Linked DNA regions of Mus musculus. The protein of the gene in region 1 purifies or fractionates together with the protein of each later gene. This does not show direct contact. Links are inferred from orthologs where the notes say so. Each region holds a gene or a part of one and is shown in the gene's direction. Other genes may lie near its edges.

Region 1 (3,746 bases):
TTTTGTGTTGTGATTGTCCAAGTCTTTTGCCTAGTTTTAAAGATTTGGGTAGTTTTTTGTTTTTGTTTTGGGGGTCATCTTGATGTTCCAATCTTTTGTCAGACCCGACGTACTACAAGTATTTTCTTCCAGTTGGTGGCTTGCCTTTTATAAGAAGTTTTACATTTTGTAAAGCTCACTATGTCAAACTTATTTTACATGTGTTTTGAGAACTATGAAATCTTTGGGTAGCCCAAGGACACAAAAGGCTGCTTACAACAGTTTTGCCTTTTCATGTAACTGTAACTGTTCTCATTCACTTTGAATGAGTTGATGCATAAGTGTTGGAGGGCTTGGGCCTCTCCCCAGGGCCCTGGGATGTAGTTATTCTAGCTGTGTTTGTGTGTGTGTGTGTGTGTGTGTGTGTGTGTGTGTGTGTAGCTGTGGGTTTTTCTCTTCTGTCAGTGATCTGGCTTTCCAGTTTTCTTCAGTTTTTGACAGTCTTGCTCTTTGATTATTTAGATTACTTTTAAAAGAGCCAAAATCAGAATTTTAGGTCATGATTTCTTTGGCTACTTGGTCACAGTTTGCTCACATGAGCAGTAATCTCTCATGTGCGGTCCTTGGAGTTAACCGTGTTTCCTGAGGTTGGATGATGTATTTTCATTTGTCATAAATTTCATCACGTTTTTGGGTCCCCCTTTTTTTATATAATACTGGGAATTGATCCCAGGGCTTTACTATAGGTTACGCAAGATTTCTACCATTGACTTATTCCCTTTCTGTGTGGTTCTTTTTTATATGAAAGAAAAAAGAGCTGCTTTCCTCTTGTGTTCCCAGTAATCTCTCCTGGGTTTTCCTTGCCCATTCAGTCCTCCTCTCCCACAGAGACCACATTCTACTTTGATATGGCACACATGTACATTTTTTATCTATTAATATGTCACATTATGTATGAAATATATGTATGCACATCTAAGTCCTCTGTTTGATAACTGTGATTTAAGTCTCTATTTTGCTTAACATGATTTTCAGATCTCTTTTTATACTGATACTTACATTTTTATCTACAATCTGTCACCCTTTTTTGCCTTTATTTACCTCCCAATATCTCCTTTCTTCCCACCTCTCAAATCCTTTCTTCCCAGCAATTCTGTCTCATACTTTCATATCCTGTTTGTTTATGGCCCACTACCTTTAATTAGTAGATACTATAGTTCATCTAGATTTAAGAAGGGAGATTTTAGCGGGGCGGTGGTGGCGCACGCCTTTAATCCCAGCACTTAGGAGGCAGAGACAGGTGGATTTCTGAGTTTGAGGCCAGCCTGGCCTACAAAGTGAGTTCCAGGACAGCCAGGGGTATACAGAGAAACCCTGTCTCGAAAAACGGAAAAATGGGGGGGGGGGATTTTTAACAGTTCTTATAATTGTGAATATAATTGATGAAAAAAACTTTTTTAGGTTAAGTGCCATATATGGAGGTACCTACATGTTGAATAAACCAATTGAAGAAATCATTGTGCAAAATGGAAAAGTGGTTGGTGTAAAATCCGAAGGAGAGGTAAGTAACTATTGTGAAAAAATGTGCTAAACAATGTGGTGTGGACATTGATATTACATGTTGGATATACACATGTGTGCTCTCTGGGTCTGTCTGATTGTTTAAAGTTCTTTTTTTTTTTAACTACAGTTTTTTGTTCTTCCTTCTATATCTTCCCACAGGTGTCTTTAGGAAGCTTCAGGGTTTTGATACAAAACCGAAGTGGCTGTAATACATTTGTTGCATAACTAAGTCTTAAGATGATGGCATCATCTGTTTACAGTGCTGTGCCATACTACTCCCTGCTAGCACACATATGGCAATCTAATAATGATCTCTTGAATTACTTCTGATTACCTTGCAACTGCCCAGGGAAACTTATTATTTGCAAAGCTCATTTAAATGCTTACCTGTATTTCAATAATTATGAACTTATTATGAAGAGATATAGTTGTTGGCTTGGAGATTGGTTTTGGTGGTGCTTGGGGTAGAATCTAGGACCTTATACTATGTAGACTCAGTCCAGTATTGTTTTAAAAGAAAAAAGTATAAACACTGGTTAAATTATAATTTAGCCAAATAGTTATTTTGAGTAACACTCCAGCGAGCACTGGTGTACAAATAACTATTTTCAAAACTTGCCGTCAGTTCTTTTGGTTTATATTTCAAGAGGCTGAACTGCTGAATTAAATAGTAATTTTGTTTGTTTGTTTGTTTGTTTATTGATTGAGAAATTGCCATGCTGTGACATCAACCGTATTATGTTCCATTCTCATGAGTGTGCAAACCCTGCCATCACGTTCTGTTTTGGTAGTAGGCATCTTAATAGGGGTCTTATGTTTTTAATTTGCACATTACTGGTGCTTTTAGTGATGTGCTATTTAGCTATTCTTTACCCTTTGTTTTTGTTTGAGGCCAGCTTTCTCTATATAGCTCCGGCTGTCCTGGAACTTGCTTTGTAGATCAGGTTAACTTCAAACTCTGAGATCTACCTGTCTCTGTCTCCTGATTGCTGGGATTAAAGGCATTGCCATCACTGCCGGTCTGTCCATTGATTTTACTCGGGTCTTTTTTTAAAATTTTTATGAATTTTAGCACTTCTTGATAATACGTTGACTATTACTCCCTATCAGATATATTATTTGCAAATATTTTTTGTCATGTTTCCTTTTCTTTTAACTGAATTAAAAATTTAATACATACTGATATACACAAATGTGTCTTTGATGTGCTAAAATTTCACGTCATAATAAATGAAGCTTTTACCTTATATCTCCTCTCTTCAGAATTTTTGGAATTTTAGTTCTTTATGTTTTGGGTTAAGTTTTAGATTTTGTTAGGGTATTAATAATAGTTTTACAAGGGCAATGTTTTTTTTCTGTGTTTTTGGATCTCATGCAGGTAGCCCTTGCTGACCTAAAGTATAAACAGTTTGTCCTCTAAATTCTGTTCTACCTCTAAGTGCTGAGATTACAGGTGTGCACTACAAGTTTTTTAAATTTGCCATGTCCCAGAACTGGTTTGTGAAAAACCACTTGAAAGCATGCACATTTATTTCTAGCTTCTCTTCTCTGTGTGCCAATACCAGGTACCACACTGTATTGACTGCTGTAGGCTTTAAGGGAGTCCTTAACATGTGTTCTTTTTTCAAGATTGTTTTATTGAGTTTAGTCTTTAGGGTTCAATATACATTTCAGGATTGATTTAGAGAGCTTAACTTTCTCCATGAATTTAGGACATACATATTGCTATGTTTCCACATCTTTACAATGACCCTTTAAATGTTTTGTCACAGATTGCTCGCTGTAAACAGCTCATCTGTGATCCCAGCTATGTAAAAGATCGGGTTGAAAAAGTGGGCCAGGTAATCAGAGTGATCTGTATCCTTAGCCACCCTATCAAGAACACCAACGATGCCAACTCCTGCCAGATCATCATTCCACAGAACCAAGTCAACCGCAAGTCAGGTGAGTTTTGAAGGACAGATGAGGGTAGAATTTGTGAACTGTCTTAGTGTTTTCATCCAGATTTCCTGCCTTTACTCTGTACTAGAGACCTTGTTGTGACATGGGAAGCAGACCTGGGAAGGGAAGCCAGGTGTGGTCTAATACAAGTGCACTGAATCCACTTGTGAATCCACTGCCTGGAATGTCTGCTTCATGTCTGGAGTGCATGGATGAGTCCTGTGGGCTTCCAGCTTTGTTAGTTCACTTGTTCTCTGTTGTAG
Region 2 (3,746 bases), on another chromosome or scaffold:
TCACCTTAGTCGGCCTGGATTACTGCTTAGGCCTCCCTCTGCAGTTTGCTGGGGGGGCCGGAGGGGGTCCTTCCTACCTGATCACACACTTGAATCTTTCTGGCGCAGGCTGGATTATCTGTCTAACCTCTTGTCCATCCAAATATTCTTTTTTTAAAAAAGCATTACCATGCAGCACCCCTGGTTGCTGAAGCTGTGTCCAGGCATGAGCTGAGCTGAGAGACAGCCAGTGAGGTGCAGCGTTCTCTCGAAGTCATGGCTTCCTCACAGCTATCCTGTACTGATGGCATGCCCCAGATGAGTTTAGAAGAGATAGGACTGGTTTCTCCAATAAACCCACGGAAACATTTGCTGTGCTCTGCTAGAACTAATGGACACTTGGTAATACACATAGGAAAGAACCAAATGGGGAAAAAAAAAAAGATTTGTCCAGACAGACCCCAATCAGAGTGCTATGGTCAGGTTATCTTTGGGGTCTCCTCTGCTCCAGAATAACACTTGACCACCTTGCTGCTGATCAAGTGCCCAGCTAGTTACCAGGCACATGCCCTACCACATGGCAGACCGGTTCCCATCAGGTTTCTGGCTGCTGGTGCAAGTCTTCTCGGCAGACAGTCTGGGATCTCAAGCTCAGGGCAGCCTCTTCCAGTAGCCATACCATGTGTTAGGAGACAGAGGAACTCTATTGTCTCGGTGAAAACAGAAATCGTGTCATATGCTTAGTACGGCCCATCAGCTGACTATTAGAGAATGGGCGGTTGAAGCAACCCGCCTTTTCACCTGCCAGGCCCCTGCCTCCCCTCCCCCAAACACCTCCCTTTTTACTGTTTTTTTAAATTAGTTTTCCAGCCCTTGGTCTATCTTAACGTTGCTGTTTAAACCTTGAACTGTTGCAGTCAGGTTCTAAAGTGTAATTATTTGTTCTTTGTTTTTCTTTTTAGTCAAAGATGACTCAAATCATACCATAGGAGTGGAATTTGGCTCAAAGATAATAAATGTCGGTGGTAAATATGTAAAGTTACAGATATGGGACACGGCCGGCCAGGAGCGGTTCAGGTAGCTTTCCTTCTTATTTACTGATAATGGTACTTGGAAGGCTTAGCCCAACTCCTTCACTGCGTGTGGTCTCAAACCAGCATGCACACGTAACTCAAAATCTGCAGCTCCATCCGGACGCTCTCACGTCTGAGGGCCCTGACTGGATCCCAGATACCAAAACAAACAAACCATCACTAGGGGACTAGACTCTCAGAGGTAGCAACTCGGTCAGGAGGATGCGGTACTGGCACTGGGTATCCGTGTAGTTGGCTTTTGGTTTCAGTCTGTTTGGCATTTTGAGCCAGCATCTCGCTGTGCAGTCTAGGTAGACCTCATGCCCACGACCTTCTTGTATCAAGCTCTGTATGCCAGGATGACCGGTGCGAAGCACCATCCGGGCTATAGTATGCCTTCAGATTAAAATCAAGGCAAAGACAAGGCAGGTGGCTTTTTCCCATATTACACGTCTATGAGGGATTTTTAAACTGCCATGGAGGGTTTTATCCCTTTACACTGACTGGAGCAGGCTGTGACAGTTGCCATGGATCCTGCAGGACAGGTTCACACAACTGGCACTCAGAAAGACTTAACCCCAGACCACTGCTAATCAGGTTGTGTGGTCAGCATCCTGTAACAATGAATGCACAGTGGGGTGTGAACATTTTAGCCACGCATTCTGCAGAGTACACCAAGTCACAGAGTCAAGATTCAGTGTGGAAGAAGCGATAACCCCCACCCACCCACCCTCCCACACACGCAGGCTTTTCACTTTTTAATTAAACTTGGGGATAGAGTATGGTAGTACCCATAGTCCTAGCTACTTTGGAGGTTGAGGCAGGAGGATCGCTCTAGTCCAGGGGATCAAGGCCAGCCTGGGCAATAGAGTGTGAGACCACAGGTGATGCCAGAGCAAATGTTATTCTGCTAGTATAAAAACTTAACAAGATGGCTCAGCAGCTAAAGGCTGGGCAAGCGTGACAGGCTGAATTCCATCTCCCGACTATGCAAAGGTGGAAGTACAGAGATGACTCCACAAAGTTATCTGACTCCCACATACATGACGTGGCACCCACCTGCGCCACCCCAACATCATACACACAATCAAGTGTAAAAAACTAGCAGGGAGAGAGCAGTTGGTTTTACAGGGGAGAAAATACTAAAAACCAGTTCCTTGAGAATGTGAGGTGGACAGAGACCCAGTCCTCAGTAGAGCAAGGAGAGAAGAAGGATGTTGTGTAGGTCGAAGTAAATGTGGCCCCTGGCAGGGATCTAGGCTGTTCCTGTCTTGGGCTTTACCTGGGAAGAAGGGAGGGAACAGCATAGGGCACCTGGGGGTGGGGGAGGGGACAGAGATGTGAGGGTCTCCTGGTGCCTGCTGCCCACAGAGAGCTCAGGACATTCGGGCCACATGCAGACCCATGAACCTCGTGACCTAAAGAGCTGCTCAGCAGAGCTCTCCCTGTTTTGGAGAGAGCGCCCTGCGTGTCCTGGCTCTATGTGGTTCAAAAGGAAGCATGGTTTCTATGGGGAGAAGTAAAGGGCCTTGATTGTTAGAAGCCCCTGTCATTCCTTCAGGTCTGTGACGAGAAGCTACTACAGAGGTGCAGCTGGGGCACTCCTTGTCTATGACATCACCAGGTAATGTCACCTCCCCGTCGCTCAGGCTACTTGGTGTTCTGCATCCCTGTGTTGGCGAGACATATGATTTAGTTCGGTCTAGATAGGCAGCATGGCTGTACCCAGGGGGATCATAAAGGTCTTTGGTATGTGTGAGGTGCTGGGACTGAAACAAGCCTTTGGCCTCATCCTTCACACTGTCTGAGACACGCTCCTCAAGGTCTACAAGGCTGTGTGCCTTCTCAGACATAATCAAGAGGTTGAAGATACAGACTCAGGCTCAAATCAGTGGGCTCAGAGCCTAGCTCCAATGACTTTTCAAACTCTACAGGCCTGGACTTCATAAGGGTAAAATTCTTGGGTCGTAGAGGTGGTTAAATCAACTAATGAAATACTGTTGCAGTTGTAGTTACTGGCTACATGTAACAACTTAGTTTTATTCCTGGGTTGCTCTGGCCACATTTCAAATGTTCCATGCCCCACATGCCTGGTGACCACAGGACTGGCCAGTGCAGCTCCCAGCACACTCCCGTCTTGAAAATCTCATCAATCCACTGACCTCAGAGTTAGCAGCATTGTCCTGGAAACACGTGATCCAAAAGGTTCCACCAAGGGGCCCTTCCTGGGAGGAACCTGACCTAGGAGAGAACAACATGGCTGCCTTCCTCTTCTGAGAGGGGGTGACACTCCTGACTTCACCCTCCTCATTCCCCCCGGTGCCATGAGAGACTCAACCTGCCAGGGTGTGACATCACTTGTGTGGGTCCTTAAATGTGGGAGCCAACCTGCAGATCTGAGCTGGTCCTGGGTAGACAAAAGCCAGGAAGTCCTGCATAGTGTCCCTAAGCCCCAGGAGGTCCTTGCAAAGTTGTCGTGGTGGATTCCTATGGGTCAAGGTGCTCACAAGTCTACAGGTGACCATGATTAGTGTTGCAAGCCAGGCACGTATCTTGCACATACTCGGGGTTCAGGTGCATCTGTGAAGGGAAGGAAAGCCCTTTTTTGAAACCCAGAGGGTTTCATTGTAATAGAAGCTAAACATAGCCCATGAGCCTATTGTATCACCAAGCATTCGGGTTCCCACGTCACCT
Region 3 (3,746 bases), on another chromosome or scaffold:
TGAAAATAAAGCCTGCTTCCCAATTAATGATAAAGCATGCTACTGAGACAAGGACTGTGCACTGCTGTGTGGTAGAGTCCTAAGTAAGTTTTGATTGTCACGGCTTGCGGATGCATAGGTGAAGAGATGTCCAACTTTTGAAGTGCCAAAGTCCTAAATGCTTTCCCTTTCTTGTCACCCTTTGGGCTTGCTGGGCTTTGGATTCAGTTTCAAATTACTCAGGGAGCTTTGAAAATCACCAGCTAACCAGACTAACCAGCTAAGTCAGTCTCAGGATTAGGGAGGAGGAAGGCCTAGTCAAGAGAGTTGTTGTTGTTGTTCTCTCTGGAATTCCAAAATGTGGCCAGGGCTAAAAAGCATTTTAGCCATTTCAGTTCTAGGCAGTAACTCTCAGGGAACATTAATTGAGATGTATATGGAGTCCCTGCTAACTGTATAAAATAGAATCAGCTTTCCCTCCCTGGACATCAAATGGGCAGAGTCTCATTTTCTTTTTCCTAAGTGGGCAGGTTCTAACAAAATAAATGAAGGGAGGGGAAGAAAATTGTTTTAAAGAGTCTCTACAGTCTTCTGTAGGGAAGGTTGGGGCACTAGGACTGAAAATATTGTGTGTATGTATTTCAGGAAGGAGAAAATATGTTATGTTCTCAGTCCTTCTGAATTATGTAACTCTGAAGGATGTGGTCCATTTGTGCCCAAATAATGAGGCCTGTAATCCTGCACTTCACATGTGTGGGAATGCTTTGCAGAGTGACTAGCATTCCTTTCTCCAGCCTGAATTCAGAGGAAACATGCCATTCACACCCTCTGTGCGCTCACATTTTCCAGTGCGTTGGAGAGCTTTTTTTTTTTTTCAATAGAAATCTTTGTTCCCTCCCTAATAAGACTTGGATTGAATTTAAGGAACTTAGCATATCCTTTTTTGTTTTCTGGCAGGAATTGATTTTAAAATCAGAACGATAGAACTCGACGGAAAGAAAATTAAACTTCAGATATGGTAAGTTAAGAAAAAAAAAAAATGAAGGCCTGTGGAATATCTCCTGGAATTGGAAGTCTAAGGTTAAAATGTGACTCAAGACATTAGAAACATCATCCAGGCATTCAGACCTTTCCTTTGGAAAACCAGAGTGGGAAGGAAGTCCAGAGCCCGTCTGTTCTAAGCTCTGGACAAGAAAAAAACCAAAAAAACGGATTCTCAAAAGCATACACTCCTTCATTGTAGTCACAGCTGTGACTCAGACACAGCAAAATGGTACAGACCCTGGGCTGAAAGTCAGGCCTGGGTCTGAAAGTCAAGCCACAGCCTTGTAAATTGAGGACTTTGGGGAAAGTACTTGCTTTTATGTCCATCCCTAACACAGTGTCACAGAACGTGTGAGACACTGCATTTATGAAGAGAGATGCTTTGCTTGGGCTCCCAGTTGGACCTAGATTAGGTGAGACCATTGGTTTGGGTCTCTGATGAGGGGCTGGGTGGCAGTGGCAGGGAGTGCTTGGCAGAGCATGGGGAAGGGCCCAGGGCCCTACAATCCACTTGAAGAACATGCTCCCAATGACCTCAGGACTTCCCACTCAGCCCAGCCCCCAAAGATTCCACTGCCCCGAAGACCAGGCCTTTAAGACCTGCAGGAGAAACTTCTCCAAACCATTGCACCTTCTCAGGCTCTGCCTTTTTTTCACTTATAAATGAGCCTGGATTGATGAGATTGAAGGTTCGATAGCTCTGTTATTTTATAATTTATCAAGTAGGGCCTATTTAATGGAGAAATAAGGAAAAAATAAGTACTGTGAGTTTTAAAAAATATTTAAACATTTTGGATACCAAATGTATCCAAGGTATTTGGCATACCCTCTATGCCCACCCTAAGCAGTTCTCCAAACGATACTATGTAGGCGTTCCATGACTTAACTCAATTCTGGCACTGTTCACTTAGAGATAGCATCAGCTATCAAAAGTCGAGGGCACAATCCCACAGACTGCCATATACTACGGATATGGATGCTACTTGCAAGCAGTAAGTTGTCACCTGTTACTGCCATTCACACCCCCTGTTCCATCACAGAACTCAGAGAAACACATTCAACCTTAAAGGTTTTTTTAATTATATTTGTGTGTGTGTGTATATGTGTGTGTGTGTGTAAGTGTGTGCATGTATATGCTGTTTCTAAATCAGTAATGTATTTGAGTCAAGGAAATATGATTAATCCATTCAAAGGTGCTTGGTTTCTCTGTTCCTCCTTGTTGCTGAGCACAAAATAAGTTCGTCACATTTCTAATGCTGATAGGGAAGAGAATAACAAGATCTGGGTTTGGTGTGAGTCTCATCCTGGTGCCCAACAGCTGAGACCTGCACTGTTTGAGTCTCACTCAAGGCTGAGAGCTGTTTAGTGGCAAAGATGAGGCCATAGTTCTCCTGAGCCTGCTGCATCTTTTACAGAGTAAAGATGATAATATCACCCACTTCACTCTGGGCTGTGGAGGCATCATGTTTGGAAGTATTTTATAAAGTAGATATAAATATGAAGATAATTGCTGTTTAATTGGCTATATTTCCTTGAACCTTTATCCTTTGGTGGGGTTTACTGTATATTAGATCTTTAATATAGTTCCACAAATCTCTCTGTTCTTTGCAATTAAATTGTATAATTTAGTTTATTTTAGTATCACAGGAAGTGAATTAGTTCCGGCTATAAATGGAAAATTAAAACAAATGACTTTCTCCCAATATCAAGGAGATTCTTCTGTGTGATTGAAGCTATGAATTTAATTAGAAATGCCCGTATTTCTTGGAGTGTGTCAGTGTGAAGCACACATGTGCTCCCCCTCACAAAGCCCTGGATTAATGCCAGAGACTGAACCTAGGGCCTTGCTAGGCCAGTGCCCTACTATTGAGCCACACTCCCATCCTAGAATCCTGCATATTTTAACGGTATGCCCTCAGCTCAAAAAGGAAGGGTAGCTGAAAGATTGTGTAATTCCAAGATGTTTATGTTTATTCTTTAGAAACTTGGAGAATGATGTTGGACTCCAGGTTCCTCTGTAATTAACTGCAGGCTGTGCTCTGAAAGTGCTCTAGAAGAGACATAGTTTGTTCTGCTCTGCTGAGCAGAATACATGTAGTCATTCAGCAGTGTGCTTTGTACTGAAATCACCCATGCAGTCAAGAAAGCAAAATGGCTCTCTAATGTAGCACTTATAGATAGGTTATCGCTGCCTCTGGGAGTCCAAGAATTTAGAGCCATTCTGCCTCCTCCCATAGCCCAGTTCCTAGTGGGATCTCATTGCTGCTTTTATAACAAGTCCGAGTTTTTCATCCAAGTCTTTGTGAGTTCTGACAGGCTCCTGTGGCCACTGCTGCCTCCAGCTCTCAAGGCACGATGTGCCATCTTTGTGTGCGTTCTCCTTTCCCCTGCCTCAGTAAACTGTGGGCAGATCAGAATTTTATCTGCTGTGACTCGGGTCCTTACCCGTGTGGCTGGTAACTTAAAACCATTCTTTCCTTTCTTTGTTTCACGTTTTAGGGACACGGCGGGCCAGGAAAGATTCCGAACAATTACGACAGCATACTATAGAGGAGCCATGGTGAGTGTGTTTCAAAGGTTCTAACCTTTCAGGTGAAAATAAAACAGGGAAACAGGGCTATTCATTGCCTGTCTATGGATATGAAGCTTGAGCCTAGGACCACTGCATTCAGCATGGCCGTCTTGGTCCTGGAAACCTGATGGTGCAAATGAGGGAATGAAGG
Region 4 (4,288 bases), on another chromosome or scaffold:
TGGTTTAGAGAACACAAACACCTTCAAAGGCTTATGGGTGTTTAGAAGGAGGACAAGTCTTTGAAGAGCATGATCACATCTAAGATGGTCAGAAAAGAACATGATCAAAGGCTTTACTTACACATGAAATGCACATGTTGGTGATGGCGAGGTGTCTGCCAAAGTGTAGCTTATTTTTATTTAATATGCTTATATATTTGTTATATGCTAATTAGTTATGTGTGTGTGTATATAAAATTTACCTAAATAAAAATCTCCTTATTGGTGAATCAGCTCATCAGGTTCAACCATTCTACCATCACATTCTGCGGGTGCTGGAGCATACTTAGAAAGGTAAGTTAGAAATTTGCTTATTTCGACTATAGAAAGGAAGAAAAGGGAGGTGTAAATAAAACTGATAGGGAGAGAGGGAAAAGGGACAAAACTAGAGAAAAGACATGGCACAGGTGTGGTGGAGTTACCCCACCAGAGTAGCCCTCAGGAGGCTGAGACTGGAGATTCATGAATTGGAAGTCAGTACTGGTGTACAGACTTTGCAACAAAACAACCAACCTACAAACAAGTGAAAAGCAAGGAAGAGATCGGTTGGGATGGGGCAGGCTTTCAGATTTTCGATTTGGTGGTACAACTTTGGCTACAGTGACCGCCCGCCTTTTCTGAATAGAGCGCTTCAGCTCCCGGGATTCCAAGGGCTGCTTAGGCCCGAAGCAGCAAAGAAGCTTCCATTCGCAGGGAGGTTCTCCCCGCACCCGGGGTTCCTCAGGCCGATGACATCATTCCAACCCCAGGAGCGCTGCGCCTTTTTCAGTTTGGAATCCCGGCTCTATCAACTCTAGCTTCTTAAGGAGACCAGGTTGTCAGGACCAGCCCACAAGCGGGATCTCTTCTGGAGATGTCCGGGTTTAGTAAGGAGGTTCCTGAGTGGCCCAGAGCACTTCTTTCTCTCTCATCTATATGAACTATACACACACACACACACACACAGCCAGCCACGCCCGTCGCTGGGCTAACATCCTTAGCTCCTCAACAGGATACTGAGAGGGAGTAGAGGATTCCAGCAGTCAGCTGGGCGCCCCGGAAAAGGCAAGGGAGGGAGGGCAGGAGCTATACGGACGTAGTGCGCCTGCGCAGTTCCCGGGCCGCACCTCCCCCGCGGGGCGTGTTCGTCAAGCCGCTCACCCAATCAGGAGGCCGTAGGGAGCGCGCCCGCGGCCTCGCCCCCTCTGGTCCCGCCTCCGCGTGCCCTACTTGCCCGCCCGCGCGCGTGCGCAGAGGCGGGCCGCAGGGGCGAGGGCGCGAGAGAAGGGCGGGTGTACGTCCTTGCGTGCGTCTCAGGCTGCGCGCACGCCGGCGTGAGAGGGCACGGGGAAAAAGGTGGCTCTGGCCGGGGCGGCTCTGTTTCCTGGGGTTATGTAGCAGGGCTTGTCGGCTCGCGAGACCTCCCGCTGCCCTCGCCCGTGTCCTAGCGCGGGGTTTCTGCTCCGGGCGGAGGCCGTGTTCAAGCCCGCCGCGCTCCCTCGACGTAGAGCTCGCTCGTCCGCCCGTGGGAGCGTCCCGGCCGAGCTGCGCTGAGGGGGGAGGGGAGGCCATTTTGTCCCGACCGACTCCCCGGAACCGGGCGGAGCGGCTGGGAGAGGCTGCGGAGCCGCGGGCGCCGCCCCTCGGAGGCACGGGCGCCGCCACCGTCGGGGCTTCCTCGACGAGGCCGTTCGGAAGGTCTCCTGCTCCGTCTCGAGAGCTGCTTTCTCCTTCCGCACACGCTACCCGGCTGCTGCGGCCCCAGAACGCCCGGGTGAGGAGTTGGTTGTAGTGAGCAGTTCCGATCCCTTGGGGCTACCGGCGGCGAGCGCCCGAGCCGCTCCTCCCAATGGCGAAGAAGACGTACGACCTGCTTTTCAAGCTGCTCCTGATCGGGGACTCGGGAGTGGGCAAGACCTGCGTCCTTTTTCGTTTTTCGGACGATGCCTTCAATACCACCTTTATTTCCACCATAGGTAAGACCTGTGGGAGGATGGTGTGGGGGCTCTGTAGCCGCGAGCCGTTTTCTTTTATTCCAGACATCTTGCTTCCCGGAATTTACGCCTTTGTTCCAGTGATTCCGATTCCAGACGACAGACCTAAGTTACTGTTGGAATCGGAATAGCCTTACTGGGGCGGGGTCTTCCCATGCTTACCATCCGGTCTCAAGTCTCCTTCTCTGTTCGGTGCCTTCTGGCACAAAATATGCAGCATTTAGCAGCGTTCCAGAATCCGGTTTCTTTAAGTGACTTGCCTGGCCTTACCATAATTGCATGAAGTTACTTGATGTGCTATTTGTAATAGACGTAATTTAGTGGTTGGGATTGAAGCAGTACTGGCTATGTGGCAAAGGCCCGAATTGGGGGTCAAAGAGAAAATATTCTATCTGACTGTAACTTGGAGTAAACTTGAGAGTTGCAGAATCATTAAGGAAAATGAGAGGGGCGGGGGAAAGTGAGTTGGCTGTCTTGACTGAACCATTGATGTGTCAAACAATCGGAGGCCCTTCGTGCTTGGGGTGGGAATCTGGCATGGTTGGCTCACAGTGCTTTTTCAAGACCTCAACGAAGCAGATGGACGGTTTCTGTTTTCAACCCAATGGAATCAAGTCAAGTTCTAATGTTTTACTTGATGTTAGAATTTACAGGAAAATCTTTCGTCAGTCATGGCTCTAAGGACTTCTAATGTACTACCACATATTTCGGAATTACTTGGTATGGAAATAAAAACTGACCTTTTAAATGGGTTTCCTGTTTCGGAAATGAAAAGGGAAGGTTTCAAGAAAGTCGTTTTGACGCTGGCACCAACATCAATTTTGTCAAAGTAACTGTACATGACCACCCCCCTCCCTGGTTTTTTAAAGTATCCGGTGTCTTTCATTTTTGAACCTCAGCTCCGGCATTAGAGCAGTGCAGGAAAACTTGTGATAAATGTAACTAGCTTCACGATGAGAAGCGACTCTAGTGGTTTTCCTTAAGAATTGTGAAAATCTTGTTTTAACCAATTTATAGTATAGGATTTCCTTAAGACATATTTGTAAGTAGCTTAAGCATATTTTCGCAAAATATGCTTAAGTTATACTGCAATTAAGATGAGCAAATTTTTATTTAAAATAGGTTGTTTTACCTTACTGGTGGGCAGGATTGTCAAAATATCACGAAGCTTGAACTTGTCCTCTGCTTAGTGGGTTAGCACTTACACAGCACTAAGTTTGCTTTGAAGTGTAGCTGGGTCAGTCAGGTGGCTAGATCAGCAAATATTTATTGAGCACCAAGTTCTAGGCACTGTTAAAAGCGTTGAAAATAAGTGGTCGATACAATAGACCCCTTGAGCATTCTGATAAAGAAGGCAACAACAGTGTGCAAAGCACTAGAGTGAGGAGAGGGAGGAAGGGGAGTAGTCTGAATTATGGGGAATCTGCTTTGCATGGATGTTTAAAACGTAGTCTGAAAGACAAGTATGAATTGGATCAGAGGAGAGGTAGCCTCTTTGAAAGAGAATTTAGTGTGCGATCCTTTTTTTTTTAACCTGCTCTTGAGAACGGGTAGGTGAAAGTAGGAAGTAAAGTTTCCTGGTGAAGAAAGCTACTTAGCCCCCCAGCTGCCTGTCCTCAGGTACTGGGCATTGACTAACCTCATGCGTGGTAGGCAAGCTGCTGAGTTACACCTCCAGTCCTCCTTGTATCCATAGTCTTCATTGTCCTTTGACTTAGGGAGATGGGTTGTTTCCCATGCAGCCTGCTGTTTTGAATTCCTGGCTCCACAGGAATTGCAACTTTGGCTACAGTGTCTTATTCGACAGTGCAAATGCCATGTATGGTGCTTGTGAGGATTAATACAGGTCAGCGAGAGCAAAGCACCTAACAATGGTGCCAGGTACTTTGTAGGAACACAGTGCAGATTTGTGCAGAATATATGGCCTTCCTGATACTGGTGTGTGACAGAATAAGTTGCTTTATGGATTGAATATGTCTTGTGTGTAATGGCTGCTTGAATATCTGTTGGTGCTCTGCTAAACAATTATACAATAACCTCTGACATTTATACATTTTGATATAAAAACATTTGATGTTTTGACACAAGATTTGAATAAAGTAAGCTAAGAAAATGAACAAAATTCTGACAATTCTTAGTCCAGCTCATACTTGACTCTTTGCAGATTTTGAATTCTGTTAGCCTCATAAACTTTGGTAGTCACAAAGGAAAAAAATTAATATCTTTCAACTCGTCAAAGATGCACATATGCCTACAATTTTAAACAGATATTTTAC
Region 5 (4,502 bases), on another chromosome or scaffold:
TGGCTGACCTTGAAATCACTTTGTTGACTAGACTGGCTTTGAACTCACAGAGATCTACCAGCCTCTGCCTGCTGAGTACTAGGATTAAAGACATGAGCCACCATACCTATCCACTTTCTATCTAGTTTTATCCACCCCCATACCCCCTTTTTTTTACTTGTATGAGTGATTTGCCTAAATGTGTATATAAAGACAACTTGTGCATGCAGTGCCCGTGGAGGTTAGAATAGGGCATTGGCTGCTCTGTGAGTTACTCTAGGGGAACTAAAGTCAGAAGAGATGAAAAGCAGACACAGTTCCTGTTGGGCCTCATAGTTGTCTCCCACTTTCCTCCTTGGGTCTAGTGTATCACTGCTCTTAGCCACATGCAGCTTTGCTTCCAAACTGCTGGTCTATCTGCCATGTGGAGGCTGATGCTATATCCAACATGAGGTAGAGAGACAGGGCCTGAACCAGCTTCCTGCATCCCTACAACTGTGGAAAGTCTGACTGGACCACCAGATTCATATGGGTCCTACTATCCGGTCAAATTTTAATAGATAACCCAGATAACTAGTTGCTGAAATTTGTACCCAGCAAGTATGTGTTTTTTTTTTCCCCAACAAGAACCAAGAACTGTCACATATACATCTTTGCACCCTACTTTGTCACTTCATATTTCTTGAAGATTTCACTTTGCATATGAATATACATAGACTTCCTTTGTTCATATCTTAGTTTCAAAGTATTCAGTCAAATGGCCAAGTAATAATTAACTAATGATTGAAACTGAGCAAACTCCTGTGTGTGTGTCTATTATATCAAATGGTGAGGATCTTGGCAGAAAGGTCTTGTTTTCCCCTATTCCTTAGGACCTACAAACCTTCTCTATTCCTTATATGCTAGAACATGTACTAGTGTTGTGGGGTATTCACCAGAAAAGACTACTCAGATATGGGTTTAAGCTAAGAAATGGCAGCTGGTTACTGCACTGGGTGTTCAATACCCCAGGACAACCTGAGTCTTTCTCAGGGTGAGCTTTTAAGCACACAAAAAAACATGTTCTGGGTTGACATACTTCAGTTAACAAGAACTGTCAGCCATAAACAGAACTACAGAAGCTAAAAAGCAAGGTTAGTACATTTTGAGACTTCCCCAGAAAGATATGGACTTTGATGGATTAGGCCTTTGTTTTAGTTTTGGTGGGCGTGACACTAAAATCAGCCTCATGTCTCTTCAGTTCAGCAACTCCTTAGCTCTCTTTCCATTTTCCTGAACCATCTGCCCTGCACAGGTAGCTCCTATTTCATCACTGGGTCTCCAACACTGGGGACACTGTAACTGATCATTTCCATCCACATTAGAGATTGTACCCAGTGGACTCAGAAGACCCTAGACTATACCCTGCCTGATACATGGCTGACTGACTAGCGTGTTCCAGAGGGGGACACTCTGGAAAGACCAAGTGACTCTCCCTCCTTTAGCTCTGTTTATAGGAGCGGGGTGGGATGAGGGGGGGGGACACCACTGCATTATCAGTTCTTGGCCCAATATGGTGCGCTCCAGCTTCTGCACAGCCTTCAAAGATGGCAGCCCCCATCTAGAAACGGCCATATTTAAGCCCCAGATGCCAGGCTAGGGCCTGACGCGACCGGAACGTGACGCAAGGTGGAGGTGGGGCTCCTCCCTCCAACCCTGGCGTCGGGCGTCTCGTGACAGACACTTCCGCTCGGGGCGGCGGCGGTGGCGGAAGTGGAAGCAAGGCCGGAGCTTTGACCATAAAGCCCAAGGCGGCGGCGTTGGCGGCGGTGTTTGGGGCCGGGCAGCTCCGAGGAGCCTGCTGGAGCCGGAATCGGACGTCTCTGTTGCGGCCTGCGTTGTGTCTCCTCCTCCGTTGACCCTGCGGTGAGCAGCGGGCCCCGGCCGCCCTTCCCCCGCCGCCGCTTGGGCCTCCGGGCCTGGCGTCCTCGGCGAGCCGAGCGCCGAGCTGGGCCGGGCCAGGCGGGGCGGCGCCCGGCGGGCGGAGGGCGATCGGCGATCGGTGGGTGGCGGGTACGGGATCCTCGGGCTGGGCGCGTCCCCACCGGCAACCTGCTGGGTGGGAAGAGCTACCGGCCGGCCGGCCACCGAGGCAGTGCTGCCAGGCGCGTCACATGCCCCGGCCCGCCGCCGGCACTGGGAGACAGGAGCTTTCAGGGTCCTGCAGGGTAAATCCCGTTTCCGAAGTTCCGGGAAGAAGGACCTCCCGAGTGCCTTTCAAATGGCCTGATGTCCTCCTGGCTCATAATCGTGCCGATGTTGAGAGTAAGGTTGTGAAGATTTGAGATTTCTCGGCTGCTGGGCTGCGTGGCAAGACCGCACAAATTGCCCTGTTCTCCCAACAGCCCCTCCGAAGCACCGAGGCAGTGCCTACTTACAGAGAAAGCGAAGAACAGAGAGGCTAAGGCACTCGACCAAGGTCACACCGCTGATAAATTTCAGAGTGAGAGGTTGAAACATAGGCAGCTAGACTACTTAGCACTTACTGGCCTCTGGCCTCTTGTACTTTAGATGCCCCCAAAGCCTGCCACCTGTTATCTGCCATCAGCACCCCCCTCCACCTCCTGTCTAGTGATGTCATTTGAGAGCCTCTTAGTCCTACCTTAAAGCCATGTTGTATTTGTACTTGTGACTTACAAGGCATATTACAAGGCATATAAGGTAGTGTAGTGTCATCAAACCAGAAGATCTTGAATTCTGGCAAGGTATGTATTGGATTTGAATAGGTTTCTTAGCCAGCTCTTTTCCTTGAGTCAGGTCTGGCATGCCTACTGTGTGCACCTTTCTACAAGAATTTCTACAACAACCTAACCTGTTGACTCTTCACCGTTGAAAATCTTGTGTTTTTGGTTTTCCAAAGAATAAACTCTTGTCTCTTTCTTGTGACTTCAGCAACTGATACCCACATGATTGAGTTAATAAAATCTCTTGTTGGCATATTTCTCTTCGATCTTGGTAATATTGGATCAGAATTGAGTGTAAGAACTGGAAAGTGAATTATAACTACTTCTGAAGCTGGCCAGACTAAAGTTTGGTGTCCTTGGTTGTCAATAGTTTAGTTTGCTACCCGGCCTGGTATACTTACGGGCTGTAAACCTATGTAATGAGTTTAGAAGAGGAATCGCTAAACGTGATTCCCTTTTTGTTGTATGATATTTTTGTCCTCCCTCGAGGGGAATTAGATGCCACTTCGTCCAGTGCACTGTCATGTGTGAGCAGAGGCTGGAGAAGACAAGTGGCTGGCACCTTCATTTGGGAGATGTTTTTCTTCCACATGTGTGTCAGGCATTACTGGGTCCTGACTCAGGGAAGAAGGCATGGCTGGGTTGTGTCCTCAGAGAATTGTAAAATGATGAGTCTCAGAGCCAGGAGCTGTTTAGGAAGGAATGACTCGGATGTAGAAAGAATCGGAGGCTTCTGCAAAAAGTAGTTTTTATTTTATTTTATTCCCTCAGGTGAATCAGATATCCAGATGTGTATTGTTCTGGCTAACTACTTGAAATATTTGCCAACTCTTTGTGTGTTGTGTATGCATGCACATGTGCATCTGTGTGGGCCTGAGGTGGGTATTGGGTGTCTTACTTTACTGCTCGCCTTTTTAATTTTTAATTATTTACTTTTTGAAGACAGGGTCTCTTCCCTGACCCTGGAGCCTATCCACTGCTAGCAGGCTAGCCAGTGAGTGCACGCATGCGCACACGTGCACACACGCATGCACACACGTGCACACACGCATGCACGTGCCCGAGGGTGTTGCAGATGCCTCTGAACCTACCCTTTTTCTTTTTCCTTCATTTTTGGGTTGTTTGTTTGTTTGTTTGTTTGTTTTTTTGGTTTTTCTAGACAGGGTTTCTCTGTGTAGTCCTGGCTGTCCTGGAACTCACTCTGTAGACCAGGCTGGCCTCGAACTCAGAAATCTGCCTGCCTCTCCTTTTCTTTTTCTTGATTTAAATGTGGGTCCTGGGATCTGTACTCAGGTCCTTACACTTGTCTGTCCGACAACTGAGCCAACCTCAGCCCCCATCTCTGTCAGCATTAGGTTTGCTCCTGTAAGAGAGGGCCATAGTCTGGTGATAGTCTGATCACCTCTTTTAAAGAGTAACCACCAGCACTAAACGTGATTCCCTTTTTGTTGTATGATATTTTTTGCCCTCTCTCAAAGGGAATTAGATGCCACTTCGTCCAGTGCACTGTCATGTGGGAGCAGAGGATGGGTTTTCCTTTTTAGCTGACAAGAAAGCTTACTGTCGCTCTGCTAGACTTAGTGATGCATGCTGGAGAAGCCCTGTGTCCTCTGCTTGCCATGGCTCTCTGGTTCCCTCCATTCAGGGGCCCAGGTTTTACACTGAAGGTAGAACCTCAGGAGTAAAGGAAGGAGGGTGGAACTGGCATGCGCTCTAAAAATAGCTTTATTAGTGAAGTCTTCCAGGTGACTGCTGACAACCACATGGTGACTTTCCTGGTTGCCTTCTTTTTTTTTTTTG
Region 6 (2,891 bases), on another chromosome or scaffold:
AGCTCAGTCGTGAAATGCCTGCCACATTTGGGGAGGGGCGGGGGCTTGGGGAAGTGTTGAAAAGGCATTTTCTGTGTAGCTCTGGCTGTCTTAGAACTGACCAGGCTGGCAACTGAGAGCTTCACCAGCCTCTGCCTCCTGAGTGCTGGGAGTAAAGGCGTGCACCACCATGCTTGCCTCCTTTTCATTATTTTTAATGACTTATTTGTATTTTATATGCATTGGTGGTTTTGCCTTCATGTGTGTCTGTGAGGGTGTCAGATCCCCTGGAATTGGAGCTACAGACAGTTGTAAGCTGCCTTGTGGGTACTGGGAGTTGAACCAGTGCTCTTAACCACTGGGCCATCTCTCCAAGCCCCCCTTTTCCTTTTATTTTGAGAAGGTCTCATTGAGAGGGTCTCATTGAGACCCTAGGCTGGTCTCAAACCTGTGATCTTCCTGCATCAGTCATGCCTGGTGTCACCTGCCTTTCTTCTGATGTCCTTGGCTTCCCAGGAGAGGGTTAGGGAGAAAGAACTGCAGGAAGCAGCAATGACTGTAGGTGCAGGCGGCTGTTGAGGTGATGGCCACTGGCAGGCACTACTCCACTCTGCTTCTGGTTTTCAGGTTTCCGCATGGGAGAGAACCAGGGGAAAGCTAAACCTGGGCTTGGGGTGGGGGAGAGACTTTGTCAGAATCCCCGTGCTCGGGGCCTGCCTTTCAAAGGAGTCCTGTTCTCTAGACCTGGGTTGACCTGGGTGTGGGTGTGCAGTAACTTTGGACACTGTGCCTAGGAGTCCTACGCCAACGTGAAACAGTGGCTGCAGGAGATAGATCGCTACGCCAGTGAGAATGTCAATAAACTCCTGGTAGGCAACAAGAGTGACCTCACCACCAAGAAGGTCGTGGACAACACCACGGCCAAGGTGAGCAGGCCTGCCCTGGCTGTCAGGGGTCTGGGGCCCACATGCCTTCACCCCTTCTCTCCCTGCTCCCCTCTCTCTCTTCTTCCCTTCGCAGGAATTTGCAGACTCTCTGGGTGTCCCCTTCCTCGAGACAAGTGCCAAGAATGCCACCAATGTTGAGCAGGCATTCATGACAATGGCTGCAGAGATCAAAAAGCGGATGGGGCCAGGAGCAGCGTCTGGGGGTGAACGGCCCAACCTGAAGATCGACAGCACCCCTGTGAAGCCTGCTAGCGGTGGCTGCTGCTAGGAGGGGCACTTGGGGGAGGGCACCTTGTCCAGATGATGCCCCTGGAGCGGGCAGGAAGTGCCTCCCTCTCCTAGGGCATTTGAGTCTGTAGCTTTGGGGTGTCCTGGGCTCCCCATCTTCCTCTGGCCCATCTGCCTTCTGCTCTGAGTCCCAGTCCTGTCAGGGCCCCCGTGGAGGACATGCAGAGCCTGTGGCTGGGGTGGTCACAGGGACAGCTCCGCTGCTGCCTCTGGGTACCTTGAAAAGATGCCCACCACGCACCTTTCTTTGGAATGAGGGCTCCGCTGTCTGTCACTCACCCCCATGTATGCTGCACTGGGTTTCTCTTTCCTTTCTTCCCAATAGCAAGGGCCTCCCTGCCTCTGCTGCCCCTGGGTGCAGGCAGTAGCCAGGGGATCCAGGGCCTCAGATCCAGGGTCCTGCATCGGACCTCAGGACAGGTGCCAGGGCTGCGAGAGCCCCATAGCCACCTTTTCCTCATCTCTGCCTCACTCCATCGCTCCCACACAGCTTGAGCCGTCCAGCTGCGGTTAGGTCTTGAGCACATCTAGGGTAGGTGGGCGGATGGCTGCGGGGCCTGTGTCTCAAGCCGGGAGGGAGCCTGCTCCTGCCTCCCCCTGCCCTGCCTGAGCCAGGCCCATGTGCTGCCTGCCCACCGAGCCCCTTTGTCCCTGAGGAAAGCGGAGGCGGAAGGCCCACCTTGCCAAAGGCCGGGCACCAGCCTTAACCCTCACTCTGCCAGCACCACCTCCCTTTTCCGAGGCAGCACATCTGGCTTGTTCTTCCTCCATTCCTCAGAGCCTGACAGGGCCAGACCTGCTTCTCTGGGGAATGTGGGTGCAGCTTGGGGTTGTGGGGCTCTTCCCCCTCCCAACTCAGAATCCTGGCCCCCACCCTCTGGCACAGCTTCCTGTAGAAAACCTTTGGTCTTTACCTAAGAAGCCATGTCCTTTGTGCTGTCTCTTGCCAGTCTCACCCTACAACCTGTCCTCCCCCTCCAGTGTGTATTTAAGTCCCTGGGCTGCCCCTCTGGGAGGGAGCCTCTTCTCCCAGGTTCCCCTCTGATGTCACATCAGGCATCTTGCAAGGAAAAGCCACTTGGGGGAAGATGGAAAAGGATGAAAAAATAAATTTCCACTGGCCCTTGGATAAGCCAAGGGTTTTTGCAAGGAAGCGGTGGTGACTGAGTGTGGTCTATGGTCAGAGTCAGCTTTGAGTTGCTGGGTGGAACTGGAGTCCAGAGTTTGGTGTGATGCATGGGGGGTCCTGGCTTGGACTGTATCTTAAGCTTGCTGGTAAAAGCCCTTGACCCACATACTGGGGCTGGGAAAGCCTGCTGTGCGGCTATGGGATGTCCCCAAGGGCCCAGCATGAATCTGTCAGAGGGAGGCTGGCAGGAGGCCGTCAGGTGAGCCACCAACATCCACTGGGACAGGCGTTCAAGGCATGAAGTTAGAAGCAAGGAGCAGGCGTTGGTCCCCCTGCATTTAGTCTTCCCCTCCTCCAGTCCCCGACTTTAGTCCCCTCTTGTGGCTTGAAGCCAGATGCCAGCTATCCTGAGCTTTGACAAGCGCTGCTTTACATTAGGACCTCAGTTGTATCCCCCTGAGCCAGCACTCTGTGGAGACGGGAGTACAGAATGTGGCTATAGTGGGCTTAGTTGTCCGAAAGTTGTACCAGGAACGGGCTTCCAGGTC
Region 7 (4,542 bases), on another chromosome or scaffold:
GTACTTGAAGTTAAGGAGGAAAAGTCATGGTGGAATATGAGAGTATTTGGGGGAAAGGAAATTGGAAGGGTGGATTTGATCAAAGCATTCATGTCCGTGTGGTTTGTGTATAAAGGAAGTTTGTAGTGCCAGATGTATAAACTGAGGCCACGACTACTCAAAGGCATGCTTGTTTGAAGGGAAGGAAGGGTTTTGTTGTAGGTATGAGGGAAAGTACAGCCAGAGGCATCTGGAAAAATCCAGAGCTGGGAGAGAAAAGTGTAGACTGGACATGGCCATGGGGTGGGATGGGGTAGTGAGACAGGAAGACAAAGGAGCAAAGGAGGCCACAGGAGAGGGGAGCGGGAAGGAGAGAGGGAGAGGGAGAGGGAGGGAGAGAGAGAGAGAGAGAGAGAGAGAGAGAGAGAGAGAGAGAGAGAGTCAAATAGTAGGGTTACATGGGAATGAGAAACTAGAAGAGGGAAGCTCATGACTTGGAGAAGTTTAGGGTAGGAAGTGGGGTGAGAAGAGCCACAGGTACTGAGTAAATCAGAAGGCTAGCCTTGTGTTTTGGTATGCTAATAGGCACCACAGAACCTTTCTGACAGAGACAAGGAATGACTCTTTTGATAGAAACCAGTGCCAGAATTTAGGGGAGTGGAGTATTTGGACCTATGCGGATCAAGGGAACGTCTTAAATAGGTGTGCTGTGGGCAGCCATAAACATCTTGGGCTGCTGTTCATTGGAATCTTAAGAACTAGTGTTATGGAGCCGGCTGCAGGCTAGACTATATCTAACCTGTGATCGTGGCCAAATTATTTGCCTCCCTCATTCATTCCACAAACATGCCAGGACTCTGTGTGCTTATCAACTGTGCTTATCAATGGGTGTGTGTGTGTGTGTGAGAGAGAGAGAGAGAGAGAGAGAGAGAGAGAGAGAGATCACTCCAAAATGTTTACTACTTAGTTCAATGGGGAATTCCAAATAAACGCTAATTATTAGGATTTCCTCCTTTTCACTCAAAAAACAAACAAAACAAAACAAAAAACCACACACACAGGTAAACTCTCAATAAAAGCAAGTTATTCTTTTGAGGTTTGCTGTCTAAAGGCAGCTTTTGAATTTAAGGGTCTTAATTCTCTCCGAGATCACAGACACGCCCATTCTCGGAAAAGCAGGGCATTTCCAGAGCCACAGGAGCCCTCGCTCGCCTAAACCCCTTTACTGAGCTGCTGAAGTGGTGTGAGAGGCCTGTGAGTGAACCATCAGACCGAAAATCGCCGCAATGGGAAGACAACCCAGGCTGACAATGGCAGTGGGGACCCTGTCAGCTCCGATGAGACCCATAAAACGCAGGTCTGGCCCACGCCTCTCGGGTTCCCAACCCGCCGGCTTAGAGCGCCGCCACCCAGATAACAATGGTGGTACTGAGGGTGGAGCCCCGGGGAGGAGGAAGGCAGAGCAAGGAAGTGAGTAGGTCTGGCCCCAGGGAATTGGAGAAGACACGTGACGCAACCCCACGCCCCCCTCTTCATTCCTGACGCTCCTGCCTCGCCTTGCAGCCGGAGCCCAAAGATGTCGGTTCAGATCAAGGAGGCGTTAGAGAGGGCCGAACTATTCTCCCTTAGCGCACCCGGGGATGTCACGTGACTTCGGCCCCGCCCCCTTAGGAAGCCGCTGCCGGCCTCCTGGGAGGGGCAGCGGCGGAAATGACGTCACGGCGTTCTTCGCTGCGTGCGGCTACGTGGCGGAGCCGGCGGAAGCAGTTCCTGCGCTGGAGCCCGAGTGTTTGTGTTTTGGTTCGTGAGGAGCCGGGGCGGTCTGAGGGGAGGAGACCGAGGGAGGAGGAGGAGGAGAACGACGACGACGAGGAAGAAGTCCTCGGAACTCGAGCGCGGCGACTCTGGAGGAGGAGGAGAAAGGAAGGCGGAACGGAGAGGCGGAGACGCAGCCCGGCAGGGGCGGCGGCACGGCGGGCGGCGCTCAGAGTCCCGCGCCGGCCAGGGTGAGAAGAAGGAGCGAGCAGGCGACGCCGCCGCTGCAGCCGCGGCGCATCCGATCTCCGGGCCGGGCCGGGCCGTGCGTGGCCTCGCTGCCGGGAGACGCGGCCCAGGTAAGCCGCCGTCGGGGCGGGTCCCTGTGGTCCCGGGCCGGGCTTGGGGCCTCCAAGCCGCCGCGGGCCCTCAGCGCTTAGTGACTCATTCTTCTAGCAGCTTCGGGGCCTGGGACGTGGGGAATCCTCTGAGGGAGCGGCGGGTGGCACCCTCTTCCCTTCACAAGATGGCGCCGTGGGAAGAGCCTGGGGCCCTGGCGGTCTCCAGCCCGGTCTTTGGGGCTCTGTCCCGGCTACTGAGCCGGATCGCATCCGGGGTGACGGGGGTGGCTCAGGAGCGCGCCCACCAGGCCCAGCGGAGCTCCTGGCCCCGGCACCCCGGTTTGATTTCTCGGCTTCTTCCAGACAGGAACCCAGGCCTCCAGCAGGTGGGGATTGGGGAGCTCCGCCTACCTCTGACCGGCTTGGCCGGGCTGTGCGAGTAGTGGGATCCTCTGGTCCCTTCCGTGGGAGGTGGGAAGCCCGGGCCAAGGTGCGAGCAGGTTAACATCCTAACGCCTCCAGAAGTTTAAAGCTTTGACTGTCACTCTTGGCATATTAGTTTTTGCCTCGCCGAAATGGATTTAAAGTTCTGAATCAGTTGCCTTGCACGTAACTAATTAAAAAAAAAAAAACTGTTACATCTTCCAGAATATTGAGGTCTGCCCAGAATCGTTCTTAATGTAAAATTTGAACCCGTGGGGTTGTGAACAAAGTAGGCAGCACAACAGTGCCTGGCACAATTTAAGGGCTCAGTGCAATTTTTTTAATCAAAGACTTCCTAACTGTATAAAAAAACTATTTTAAAGATTGGAGATGCATATTATGCAAAAGTTTTCTTTGACGGAATAAAAGTACAAGTTATAAGTGCAGAACCTCTGTGCACTGAGCAGTAGCTTCACTGAACACCCCCAGCCCTCGCACTTAACATTAATACCATGTTCAACCTGTGTAGGTTTATACTTGGGCTTATTTCCGTTTGAGGTCTTTGGAAGTAAAAGATTTAGTAGCTTTGCACTTTAAAAGACACTGACTGTGAAGGCACCCCGCCTGTCATCCCAGCACTCTGGAAGCTGAGGTAGGTAGGATCAGGAGTCCAGGCCATCCGTAACCTATCCTGTGCTTGCCTAGGCGACAAGTCCCTGTCCCTCAAAAATGTGATCGGGATGTGGGGCAGGAAACAGTTTTTAAAAACTAAGTACAAAATTTTGTTTGTATTTTCTGTGAGAATCGATGTTTTCCCTGAGATTTTGGAAGTACCATAGGAATACAGAACAAGTTTTGTCCTGGATAAGTCATTTACTGTTTTATAGGTAAGGAACAATTGAGAAACATTTAAGCTGAAGGTATGTTGGTGCCTTTTTCAGTCTGTATGAAGTCTATTGATCTACAAGCATTAATTAATTAACTAATTCACCAAGAGGCCATTTTAATTGCCAGTTTCAAACACTGTGTACTTAGTAAGCACTGTATCAGAGACTAGATATGTTGTCTTATTTAATTCTTAACAGTTGCTGTGCAATGTTAGGGTATAATGAATATAGAAAATTTGAAAATTAAAACTTAGATTGACATAGCTGAGACTAGACTTCAGAATCTGGTTTGTTTTATGGATTGGGGAGAAATGGGAATTTTGCTTAATTACTTTTGACAAGCTCTCACAGTATAGTTCTGGGTGACTTGAAACATGCTTTGCAGGCCAGGCTAACTTGGAACACACAGCCATTCATCCACCTTTTTCTGGCCCTGGAGTGCTAGAATTAAAATCTTGGCCCACTGTGTCTGTTGTTTTGAGACAAGCCTTGCTAAATATTTCTGACTGGCATGCTTCTGTCTCAGCTTCTCAAGTTCTAGGACCACAGACAAGCTCCATCATGCCAGGATGAAATGGTAGTTTTATTTATGTGCTGTTGGTTAGAAGCAGCTCAAACATTTCATCTGTAAATGTGTTGGTATTTATTGGTAAAGATAGGAACTCTTCAAAGCTAGTAACTAGATTAGGCTAGAAGATGGTATCTTAAAAACGGAGCTGGGCTTGGTGTGGCATACCTTTAATTAGAGAACTCAGGAGGCAAAGGCAGATGTACTGATTGATCTCTGAGTTCAGGGACAGCCATGGCTAAACAGAGAGCCGTTGTCTTAAAACAACAAACAGATAGCACGGAGATCTTATGGATATATTCGTTAATGAATTTGTCATTATCAAGTGTTCCATGTATTAATTCAAATTTTATAGGAAATATAAATTTCTATAATTAAGTATAAATTAAGTGTAGCTTTTGGTCAAAGATTTTTTTAGGAAGAAAATCCTTAGTATATTTTGTTTTTGATAAGCTTATAACCCACATTTAGTATATGCGTGTGATGTTTGCATGTGTATGTATTCCTGTGTGAAGGAATGTGCATTTCACAGCATTTTCATGGAGATCAAAGGGACAACCTTGGTCCTCACCTTTTCACCATATGTGCT

What was found.
Region 2: the proteins of Gdi2 (region 1) and Rab4a purify together in Homo sapiens (co-immunoprecipitation; 3 studies listed by BioGRID and IntAct, with this or other methods). This does not show direct contact. The link is inferred for Mus musculus from reciprocal best matches to the Homo sapiens genes GDI2 and RAB4A.
Region 3: the proteins of Gdi2 (region 1) and Rab8b purify together in Homo sapiens (affinity purification with mass spectrometry; 3 studies listed by BioGRID and IntAct, with this or other methods). This does not show direct contact. The link is inferred for Mus musculus from reciprocal best matches to the Homo sapiens genes GDI2 and RAB8B.
Region 4: the proteins of Gdi2 (region 1) and Rab10 purify together in Homo sapiens (co-immunoprecipitation; 3 studies listed by BioGRID and IntAct, with this or other methods). This does not show direct contact. The link is inferred for Mus musculus from reciprocal best matches to the Homo sapiens genes GDI2 and RAB10.
Region 5: the proteins of Gdi2 (region 1) and Rab7 purify together in Homo sapiens (affinity purification with mass spectrometry; 3 studies listed by BioGRID and IntAct, with this or other methods). This does not show direct contact. The link is inferred for Mus musculus from reciprocal best matches to the Homo sapiens genes GDI2 and RAB7A.
Region 6: the proteins of Gdi2 (region 1) and Rab1b purify together in Homo sapiens (affinity purification with mass spectrometry; 3 studies listed by BioGRID and IntAct, counting the BioPlex papers as one, with this or other methods). This does not show direct contact. The link is inferred for Mus musculus from reciprocal best matches to the Homo sapiens genes GDI2 and RAB1B.
Region 7: the proteins of Gdi2 (region 1) and Rab5a purify together in Homo sapiens (affinity purification with mass spectrometry; 3 studies listed by BioGRID and IntAct, counting the BioPlex papers as one, with this or other methods). This does not show direct contact. The link is inferred for Mus musculus from reciprocal best matches to the Homo sapiens genes GDI2 and RAB5A.

The regions. Positions count from the first base shown.
Region 1 is NC_000079.6:3,558,552-3,562,297, forward strand, and holds part of Gdi2 (rab GDP dissociation inhibitor beta), read left to right. Parts: intron 1-1,440; coding exon 1,441-1,540; intron 1,541-3,314; coding exon 3,315-3,486; intron 3,487-3,746. UniProt on the Homo sapiens protein: GDP-dissociation inhibitor preventing the GDP to GTP exchange of most Rab proteins. By keeping these small GTPases in their inactive GDP-bound form regulates intracellular membrane trafficking.
Region 2 is NC_000074.6:123,826,383-123,830,128, forward strand, and holds part of Rab4a (ras-related protein Rab-4A), read left to right. Parts: intron 1-941; coding exon 942-1,056; intron 1,057-2,613; coding exon 2,614-2,676; intron 2,677-3,064; exon of another isoform or gene 3,065-3,632; intron 3,633-3,746. UniProt on the Homo sapiens protein: The small GTPases Rab are key regulators of intracellular membrane trafficking, from the formation of transport vesicles to their fusion with membranes.
Region 3 is NC_000075.6:66,860,674-66,864,419, reverse strand, and holds part of Rab8b (ras-related protein Rab-8B), read left to right. Parts: intron 1-936; coding exon 937-997; intron 998-3,522; coding exon 3,523-3,583; intron 3,584-3,746. UniProt on the Homo sapiens protein: The small GTPases Rab are key regulators of intracellular membrane trafficking, from the formation of transport vesicles to their fusion with membranes.
Region 4 is NC_000078.6:3,306,998-3,311,285, reverse strand, and holds the start of Rab10 (ras-related protein Rab-10), read left to right. Parts: upstream 1-1,316; 5' UTR 1,317-1,867; coding exon 1,868-1,994; intron 1,995-4,288. UniProt on the Homo sapiens protein: The small GTPases Rab are key regulators of intracellular membrane trafficking, from the formation of transport vesicles to their fusion with membranes.
Region 5 is NC_000072.6:88,042,455-88,046,956, reverse strand, and holds the start of Rab7 (ras-related protein Rab-7a), read left to right. Parts: upstream 1-1,686; 5' UTR 1,687-1,884; intron 1,885-1,939; exon of another isoform or gene 1,940-2,020; intron 2,021-4,502.
Region 6 is NC_000085.6:5,098,681-5,101,571, reverse strand, and holds the end of Rab1b (ras-related protein Rab-1B), read left to right. Parts: intron 1-773; coding exon 774-905; intron 906-999; coding exon 1,000-1,194; 3' UTR 1,195-2,365; downstream 2,366-2,891. UniProt on the Homo sapiens protein: The small GTPases Rab are key regulators of intracellular membrane trafficking, from the formation of transport vesicles to their fusion with membranes.
Region 7 is NC_000083.6:53,477,516-53,482,057, forward strand, and holds the start of Rab5a (ras-related protein Rab-5A), read left to right. Parts: upstream 1-1,718; 5' UTR 1,719-2,093; intron 2,094-4,542. UniProt on the Homo sapiens protein: The small GTPases Rab are key regulators of intracellular membrane trafficking, from the formation of transport vesicles to their fusion with membranes.